Nothobranchius furzeri: one gene and its partners. The protein of the gene in region 2 purifies or fractionates together with the protein of the main gene of each other region. This does not show direct contact. Links are inferred from orthologs where the notes say so. Each region holds a gene or a part of one and is shown on either strand. Other genes may lie near its edges. The genes, in order: rnf41, sugt1 and nod1.

Region 1 (4,353 bases), on a different chromosome or scaffold from region 2:
TCCTGAACAACACAATTTAAAAAAGATTAAATATAAACCACCTACACATAGTAGGTATATTAGCTGTTTTAATGTAATTAAAAATTTCTTTGTCAACAAAATAATGTAAAGGAGGAATGTGATTGTCCCAAATCGTATTGTAATGGATGACCCAGATGCCTTTCAGAAAGCAGAAATGGAGATACTTGGCAATGCTTGTACTGCAACCTGATGAGCAAATGTTTCTATTATCACTCTAGCCATTTTTACAAAACAATGCCATTAATTTGCCGCAATGCCGTGGCAGCATCAGGGAGCCTTAGGTTGTTCATAAGTGGTCAGACTGTGGCGGTAATGTGGTGCAATCGTGTCCTTTTTATAAGATTAAGGCGGTGTGTATTGTAAAAGGGCTTCTGAGATGCTGAATTATTTAATCTCACCCCCCCCCCCCAAACCGAAAGTATTTTACACAGATTTCAACACAAGAAGGTGACATGTTTCATCATGTTGTTTATTATGAAGAGGAAGAAAATATCATTTCGATAGCGCTTCTCAAGATAAAAATCACGAGGCGCTTCACAAAAACAAAAAATGAAAAAATATAAAAAAGAATTTAGAAAATGGTTAAAAATATATTTTAAATGAGCAAAAAAAATGGGCAATTGTAATTAAAAAATGTTAAGAAAGAGAGAGAGTGAACAGGAAAGAGGGAAATCAGTGGATCCTGAGGAAGGTGGAATAGGTGGGGAGAGCAGAACAAAAAGAGAGAGGTGAAGAAGGTCATACAAAAGCCAGCTTGAACAGGTGAGTCTTCAGCTGCTTTTTAAAGGAGACCACTGAGTCCACTGATCTCAGGCTCAGGGGGAGAGAGTTCCAGAGTCTGGGGGCCACAGCAGCAAATGATCTGTCACCTTTGGTCTTTAGTCTGGTGCTGCACAACCAGTAGGCTTTGATCACCGGACCTCAGGGACCTGCTGGGGGTGTAGGGACTAAGAAGATCACCAATGTAAGATGGTGCTTGTCCATGTAAGGCCCTATAGACCAGAACCAGGATCTTGAAATGAACCCTGAAGTTGACTGGCAGCCAGTGAAGCTGGAGGAGAAGCGGAGTGATGTGGGTGTGTTTGGAGGACTTGGTCAGAAGCCGAGCACAGGCATTCCGAACCACCTGTAGACGGTTCAGGGAGGTTCTGCTCAGACACGTGAAAAGAGAGTTACAGTAGTCTAAGCATGAGGAGATGAAGGAGTGGAGAACTGTCTCAAGTTCAGAGCGGGACAGAATGGGACTCAGCTTAGCAACGTTCCTGAGATGGAAGAAGGAAGAGCAAACAAGAGAAATGACATGAGAATCCAGGGTGAGAGCTGGGTCAAAGGTCACGCCAAGATTCCTGACAGAAGGTTTGGTGTGGGAAGCAAGCTGACCAAGAGAGTCTCTGACTTTGGGAACCAGCTTGTCTGGGGCACAGATGAGGATCTCAGTCTTATCTTCATTCAGCTGAAGAAAGCTCCCAGCCATCCAGGTTTTGATAGAGTCTAAGCAGGTGTGTAACAGCTGCAGCTTAGACATCTCATGGGGCTTAAAGGAGATGTACAGTTGGATGTCATCTGCATAAAGATGGTAGGATATTCCTTTGAAGGAGCTCAGGATGTGCTGAAGAGGAAGCAGATAGAGGAGGAAGAGCAGAGAACCTTGTGGGACACCATGGGTAAGGGTGGTGGTGAAGGACCTAAACTTGGAGACGGCCATAGAAAAGGAGTGCTCAGAAAGATAATGTAATATAGTACAGTAACTAATTCTTTAGCTCACTGTTTGTATATATGTGTGTGTGGTTGTTTTTTTACATTTACATTTATACACTTGCTACGCTACTAAATACCAGTACTGTGAAACAAACCTGGCTAAAACTAAGATGAGAAGGGTTTTTTACACTATCTATGAATAATTACTATCAAAAAATGATTGACATTTTGTCAAAATAATAATTTACAGTTCTGGTTAGAACATCTTGTTTACCTCAAACACAAACTGCCTCAAATATTTCCATTCAGCTCCTCGATTCCTCACATCTGGCAGAAATGCTCTGCCTGCCTAAAAAGACACAGACCCTGCCTGAATAAAAAGGAAAAAATTATTGCATTTAAAAAAAAACTTTTAGTCTGATGATTGTAAACCACATATGCAAGAACATTAAATCCCATATCACGTATACACAATGTACTCAAATGAGTTTAACTAGCTGAAATCTGAGATTAAGTACTTTCTAAAAAAATTTACCATACCGACAGTTTTTTTGGAGGATAAAGAATTTGAACTTTAAATTGAGCGTAGCCATTTTCATACATATTCACATCCTCAGGCTGACTTTTCAACGTGATTTTACAATAAACATATTTATCTACTGTCCTGGTTAACAAATGAATGATTCCAAAAAATGAAAAGAAACAGCTTTGAGATCAACATGTTTCCATCATATTTCAGAGCAAGGAGCACAAAACTTAGCTGAGCATCGAGGTTTCTCAATGTTATCTTCACGCATATAATAACACTTTAAACTAAATCGTAAAAACTTGATTTTTAATAACGTAAACATGCGTCAAAGAGAAAAATATCTTAATGGTTTACAAAGTACAGCAGCACAGTTTGACTGTCACGATTTCTGAATATGTAACGTTAGCTAGCCCAGCTAGCGGCTACGCTGTCGTTGGTTTCCTTTGGACATTAGCTATAAGCTAACCAGACTGACCTCCGTTAGAGACAACTTCACACACCAATAGCTGTTTACAGTCAGCTGCACTGCTCAAGATATAACAGCTGACTGATATACTTACTCAGACATTGAGTAAAATAGATCCTTTTCACAATTCAGGCTGTTTTCAGACGTCGTACCAACACTAGCCCCTTGCTAATCACGTCTTGGTGCTACGTCATACAAGTCTACGTCTCAATCGACACGAGGGGAAACGTCATCACGCAAAACTGCAGAAATCCCAAAAGTGAATTTTATAATGAAAAATGTCTCTCTTACCGAAACAATGTTAATCACTAACACTGTCGAAAATGTCCTTATCCGGTTAAAACTTTCATAACGGACTGCTGTTTCTTTGTACATTCTTTTTTTAATTGTCTGTTTGTTAATCAGTTTTGGGTAAATAATTGTATAAACATTAATCCGGACTTCAAGTTATAATGGAGAAATGTGTTATTTGGGTTCCTCAGAAATGACATTGAGATTAAAAAAACACATTAATATTATAATAATGTAAGCTAAATGCCATGTTGAAAAGTTTGTTTGTTTTCAAGAGCTCAGACAATACATTTCCTCCATTATGATTTCATCCAATAAAAAAGCCTCAAATGGATCAATTTTGTGAAATAATTGTTAAGCATCAGTCTAATGTGCTCTGTTATGCTCTGTTATGTTATGCATCTGTGTAAATTTGTAAATAAGAATGTGTGTGTGTGTATATACATGTATGCTTTTATACTGAAAAGTACCTGTAGAGGAAGTTAAACTTTGACCTCGTAAATTGACCAATAAAAGGGAGCATTGGTGTTTTAGTGGCCGCAATCAGTGTGTGCTACCACCAGTGAAGGCCCGTGAAACAGACGCTCTGTTTATGGATTTATTTCCTCCTTTTTTTAATCCTGGAGATTCATTTTGGAGTCTTGGACCAACCGCTGGGTAAACGAAACTCTGCTAACAGGTTATGGGCCCAGCACGCTTCCGCTGCGCACCAAGCTAATCAGGACAGCTGGGAAAGCATCCTGCTAGCGTGTGAGGAGCACAGAACCGACCAACAGCAAGTCCGGTGAGTCGAGTGAGAGCTACGACGTGTGTCGGACACTATGAGTCGGAAGACAGTGGAAGCCAGTACCCGCTGGTCAAGACTGGTATTTGACGGAGACGAGGATAAATATGAACTGTGGGAAACAAAGTTTCTCGGACACCTCCGGCTACAAGGTTTGAAAGACATTATATTAAAACCGAAAGACGATGACGATGATGAGGAATATGATTCAAAGAACGCAGAGGCATATGCCGAACTTATACAATTCCTGGATGATAAGAGCCTTTCACTGGTGATGAGAGACGCAGCTGACGACGGGCGGAAAGCTCTAATTATCTTGAGAGAACACTATGCCGGGAAGGGAAAACCCCGCATAATAAGCTTATATACAGAACTGACTGCATTACAGCAGAAGAGCGGCGAGAGTGTAACGGATTATGTTTTGAGAGCCGAGGCCGCCATTACAGCGCTGAGAACCGCAGGTGAAACTTTGAGCGATGGACTGCTAATAGCAATGGTTTTAAAAGGTCTACCTGACTCATTTACGCCTTTTAGAATCCATGTGACACAAAGTGATGATGACAT
Region 2 (2,843 bases):
CAATAATTATTGGAAAATACCAAAATGAACTCTGACTGTTTAAAATTGTGCCGCTCAATATTGATTAAATTAAAAACATCTTTATAATGTGCTGTAGTATTTGTAAACATAACAGGAAATGACATCATACCATCCGACCATTCAAAGGTGTTTTTTAGACCGATTGATCAAGATGGGACACCTGAATGTTTCTCCTCACAAAAGCACTGCTAGAACATTGAACACTGGTTATATTGGCTGTAACAGCCATGAAAATATAAACGATTAGACGATGAGATGCGCAGCGCTCTGATCCGTGAGCTCCAGCAGTCATCTGCTAGCTGCTAACAACACCGTAAGACTTTCATAACCAGGGAAATCCCTGGTGTGTCAAATGTCACATCTACCGCTTTTCTCACAGCCACGGACATTTTTTCCCTTTAAACACAATTTTTATAGGCATAAACATCAGTATATGATGTCTGGTTAGCGGTAGCTTGTTCAAACAGCGGCCAGCCCCGGACTCTTGATTGTTTTTTTCTCGCCTAGTCCCGCCTGTTCAATTTGCTTGATGTATTTTAACCCCCACCCTCCCATTTTGTCCATTTTATGAATGGATTTTTGTTTCTGTCATTTTTTGTTGTCGTCTCTTATTCGTCATCAAAAAGTACAACGACAGAACCCCAGCTTTGATGAGACTGGTGTTGACTCAGGTTTGTGAGTCTTATTTGACAATATTTGTTGTGCTGCTGGTTTGCCTAAAGTTAGCTTACTATCAGGTAAAGTTGTTGGAGAAAGAAAGGGAATATTTATTATCATCTCACACTAAACACTAACAGGAACAATACTCTGCCCTGAATATGCTTCATATGTAGCTTCAGATTAAAAATTATGTGGTACAAGACATATATGATGTTGTTGACTAGTGCGTGTCACATGTGTGTGTGTGTGTGTGTGTGTGTTAAGCCCGGGATCTTCTTCAGTCCTAAATCCGCCCCTGCCAGGGACAACCCTCTTCACCAACTGTATTGCATTACCATTTTCCCCTGTTACCATTTACAAACAAGCTTTCATGTTTCTGCTAGAATAACAGCTAAATTCCTAAAAAATACCGTTGCACATGTTGAAATAAAACTGGAGTTTGGAGCCGTGTTAAGATCACAGACTAGCAAATGCTTGTCTTTCTAATAGGATATGAACTCTCATCAGGAAGAAGCCTCGTAACGGTTAGATGGTCTTTTTAACAGAAACACACCCAACCTTTAATAGGAGGAGACATCATTGCAAACAGGTCTCTAGGCTGTGAGGGTTGAGAGAGAGAGAGAGAGAGAGAGAGAGAGAGAGAGAGAGAGAGAGAGAGAGAGAGAGAGAGAGAGAGAGAGAGAGAGAGAGAGAGAGAGAGAGAGAGAGAGAGAGAGAGAGAGAGAGAGAGAGAGAGAGAGAGAGAGAGAGAGAGAGAGAGAGAGAGAGAGAGAGAGAGAGAGAGAGAGAGAGAGAGAGAGAGAGAGAGAGAGAGAGAGAGAGAGAGAGAGAGAGAGAGAGAGAGAGAGAGAGAGAGAGAGAGAGAGAGAGAGAGAGAGAGAGAGAGAGAGAGAGAGAGAGAGAGAGAGAGAGAGAGAGAGAGAGAGAGAGAGAGAGAGAGAGAGAGAGAGAGAGAGAGAGAGAGAGAGAGAGAGAGAGATTCCTTCATGTATTTTCCCTCCCTTTACAGATGGAGTCTGGTGGTACGGTTCTCAGCACCAACTGGGGCGATGTGGGCCGGAGAACGGTGGAGGTCAGTCCTCCAGATGATGCAGAGTTCAAGAAGTACTGAGCACCTCTCTTCCTCCTCCTGTTTGTTTCTTCCTCCCCTTTTTAAAATCATGCGATGACCCCGCTGAGTTCCCTGGGAGCTGCAGTCGGCCTGGCGGTCCTCTTCTCCTTGTTGTGATGGCATTCAGAAGCCATTCTACCAGCGCACACCTGGCCTACTCTCCTCTAGAAGTCATCACCAGAGGGGTCAGTTTTAGATCATCTCTTGAACTAATTGATCTGGTTTAAAGGCCAATGCATCCAAAAGGGAGGTAACATGACCAACAGACCTGAAAAGCCTCCATCCAACCTGCAGACGAATAATCTTTGTTCGTTTTTGTCCTTCAAACAGCAACATGTGAAGCCTTTCATCATTTTTCATAATCAGCCCGTTGTAAAAATGTAAAGTTGCTCAGAAGAAGGAACGCAACAATTTTTCTGTAAACAGCGGGACTTAGAAACCTTCTGCTCTGGCTACCTGTCATTTTCACTTGTGACGTTAACTCCACTGTAAATAAAAGATTTGGTTCTAAAACGGCGCCCTGTGTGTTGTGGTTTGTTGTGTCTGGGGACGGTTTTGGAAGTCTCCAAACAAGATGGCTCAGACACAAGCGGGGCTGCATTAATACGGGGAGCTGTGATTATGACCCGGGAGCCATAGAATGTGCCTTCACTGATAGGGGAGCAGGAGGCTGATGCGGCCGACAGCTGGAGGAAATGGTTTACTTATTGCTTGGTGATCGGTATCGAGAGGAAGGGCCCTGGAGATGTTTGGCCAGCTGTAGAGGGGAGTAGTGATGATCTACAGCTGATGTGGAGCCACCCTATTCTCCTGACACACACACACACACACTGTACACGAGGCAGCTGTAAGTGTGAGGGGGTGTCCTGCAGAGGCAAGAGAGCATTAATATGGATCAGCCTCCCTAACCACATCATCAAGCCTCTCACACTGAGTTAAGTGTTAAATTCATCACACACCGTTTCATCTCTGCTGATGATCAAACACTCATTTGGGTCTCTGGATGGAGCTCTTAGCTCCGTGACACGTCCACACACACACCCACACCCCG
Region 3 (2,328 bases), on a different chromosome or scaffold from region 2:
CCGTCGCCATCATGACCCCACGCCTGAACTTACTTGAGGACCTCCAGTCTGGGACACTCTTCAATGACGCGAGCGACCAGCTGAGCTCCAGTGTCACTGATGTTGTTGTTGTAGAGCCTGCAACACAAACCACCTTCACTGCTTTGGCTACCTCCCAAAGTAATCAGATACAGTTACTAATCCTCACAGGTACTCCTTACCTTCAGAACCAGACATGGATATGTAGACGCCCCATTGGGCACTGGAGAGCGTAACAGCGTTGCCACCATGTTGGATAGGTCTCACTCTCCACAGCAATGTGAATGGAGACCCATCTAAGATGGCGGCCTGCCGGTCCATGGGGCGTCTACATGTACATGTCTGTGTTCAGTTCCCAGTCACAGAACCGATCTGAGCTCTGACCCTAGAGATGGTTGTGGGTTCTAATCCCAGTTGACCAGATTGTTACCAACAACCATGTCACTCACGCTCAAACTCCCTTAAATCTCCTCTCTCCCTCATCGATTGTAGATGGATAAATGCTGCCGTCTGATTGGCTGATTAGATGTCTGAGGAAGGAGCTGAGCAGGTGTACCTGATAGTGTGCATCTCGTGTTCACTCACCCCAGGACCCTGATGACCCTGTGCCTGCACAGCTCCTCTGCCAGCACCTCCACGCTGCGGTCTGACAGGTTGTTCACACACAATCTGGATCCAGGAGAGTTGCTATGGTTACGATTCAAACACAGATTAGGGCTGAAATAATCCAGAGCTGTCTGGTGTCTCAGCACACCTGCAGGACCCCAGCCTGTCCCCGTATAGAGGTGGAGCACCCAGCCAGGAGCCAAGGCTCCACCAGCACCTCTGGTCTAACATCTGCAGCACCAGTGAGCGGGTCGGTGCTCTGAAACAGAACCTCGTTCTGGAAGACGTTCTGGCCAGAGAACGGCCCGTCTCACTCGTAGCAGCTGATGCCAACATGGCGGCTGCAGCAGAAACGTGCCTGACTCACGTTTCAGCTCCTATAAACTAGAATGGCAACACTTCCTCCCATCAGGAACATCACTTCCTTTAAAACCCCTTCACAATAAAAGACCCAGCCATAAATGAACTGATGGAAAGCCATTCTTACCGGACTACGGTCATCTTGCTAATGGATGGCCGGAGCTGATTGACACCGTAGTCACCGATGTTGTTGTTGTCCATGTCCAGGCCCAGCAGCTTCTGGCGGTGCTGCAGAACAAAGTTTATGGCGGTGCAGTCCCCCGAGTACACGTTGCAGTAGCCCAGCTTAATGAAGCTGGCTGTGATGCCTTTAGCCGTCGTCCGGGCGATGTGCTCGCTGCCCGTCTCGTAGATGCACCTGATTATCCACAGGAAGTTGGGCAAAACATGAACCTTCTTGCCCTCGTTTCCCTCAAAGGTGGGCAAGCCCTGCAGGTGAGACTTGACACTAGTGGACAGGTAAGACTTCAACAAGGCTCGTTTCTTCTTTAACACGGCGGGAGACACCAGATGGCCCATCAGACCCGCGAGAGCCTTCGACAGCAGCCCACACACAAACAGATTCACGAACTGGAGGTGCTCGTTCTTCTCAAATGGTTTCCTTTGGCCGAGACTCACAGAGCTGCCGTTGCAGAGGGTGAACGGCAGACAGGACGGTTTTCTCCTGCTGCACTCGATGAAGAACCTGAGGATGGACCTGGCTGGGGCGTGCTCATCCAACACCAGAGCTAGTGCAGCCAGGAACGCCTGTAGGGTGATGTGGAGGAACTCAAGGGTAGCAGAACCTCCACTGGAGTCACAGTCACTGGCAGGTCTGAGGAAACCCAGGGCCATGTCCTCCTCCGTCAGACCACTCTCACGGATCTCCTCTAGGCTGCACAGGAAACTCCCCCTCTCCAAACCCTGCAGGGCCAGCTTGGCAAACGCTGCCAGAGGCCTGAGGCCTGCTTGGAAGGTCTCCGAGGTGCAGCGAGAGCTTTTCTTCAGCAGAGAAGGCGTGGGGGAGGCCAAGCGGCTGAGGAACACCTCAGACAGCAGCAGGAAGATGTCCGTTAGCGTGACGCAGGTGTCCGGCAGATGGAAACCATCGTGCACGGTGTGCAGGTGTGTAAAGCTCTTGAACACAATCCAGCAGAAGAGCGGAGTGGAGCACAGGCCGCAGAGGTGGGGGCTGGCCTCCAGCTGCACCGACACCAGCTCCCGGTGCTCCTGCTCCTTAAAGTGCAGGCTCATATACGCCTTCAGGTGATCCGGGGAAAACCCACGCAGCACCACTTTCTTCCTGATTACCCGACTTTGCATCTCTATTCCCATTCGGGTGGTCAGCACCTTCTTGGAGCCCTG

The links.
Region 1: the proteins of sugt1 (region 2) and rnf41 purify together in Homo sapiens (affinity purification with mass spectrometry; 3 studies listed by BioGRID and IntAct, with this or other methods). This does not show direct contact. The link is inferred for Nothobranchius furzeri from reciprocal best matches to the Homo sapiens genes SUGT1 and RNF41.
Region 3: the proteins of sugt1 (region 2) and nod1 purify together in Homo sapiens (affinity purification with western blotting; 3 studies listed by BioGRID and IntAct, with this or other methods). This does not show direct contact. The link is inferred for Nothobranchius furzeri from reciprocal best matches to the Homo sapiens genes SUGT1 and NOD1.

Annotation. Positions count from the first base shown.
Region 1 is NC_091755.1:37,149,394-37,153,746, forward strand, and holds the start of rnf41 (E3 ubiquitin-protein ligase NRDP1), read right to left. Parts: upstream 2,934-4,353; 5' UTR 2,809-2,933; intron 2,090-2,808; 5' UTR 1,994-2,089; intron 3-1,993; 5' UTR 1-2. Other genes in the region: uncharacterized protein, read left to right, coding at 3,827-4,353. UniProt on the Homo sapiens protein: Acts as E3 ubiquitin-protein ligase and regulates the degradation of target proteins. Polyubiquitinates MYD88. Negatively regulates MYD88-dependent production of pro-inflammatory cytokines.
Region 2 is NC_091751.1:64,261,338-64,264,180, reverse strand, and holds the end of sugt1 (protein SGT1 homolog), read left to right. Parts: intron 1-1,690; coding exon 1,691-1,792; 3' UTR 1,793-2,309; downstream 2,310-2,843. UniProt on the Homo sapiens protein: May play a role in ubiquitination and subsequent proteasomal degradation of target proteins.
Region 3 is NC_091745.1:81,042,850-81,045,177, reverse strand, and holds part of nod1 (nucleotide-binding oligomerization domain-containing protein 1), read right to left. Parts: coding exon 1,112-2,328; intron 706-1,111; coding exon 604-705; intron 118-603; coding exon 34-117; intron 1-33. UniProt on the Homo sapiens protein: Pattern recognition receptor (PRR) that detects bacterial peptidoglycan fragments and other danger signals and thus participates in both innate and adaptive immune responses.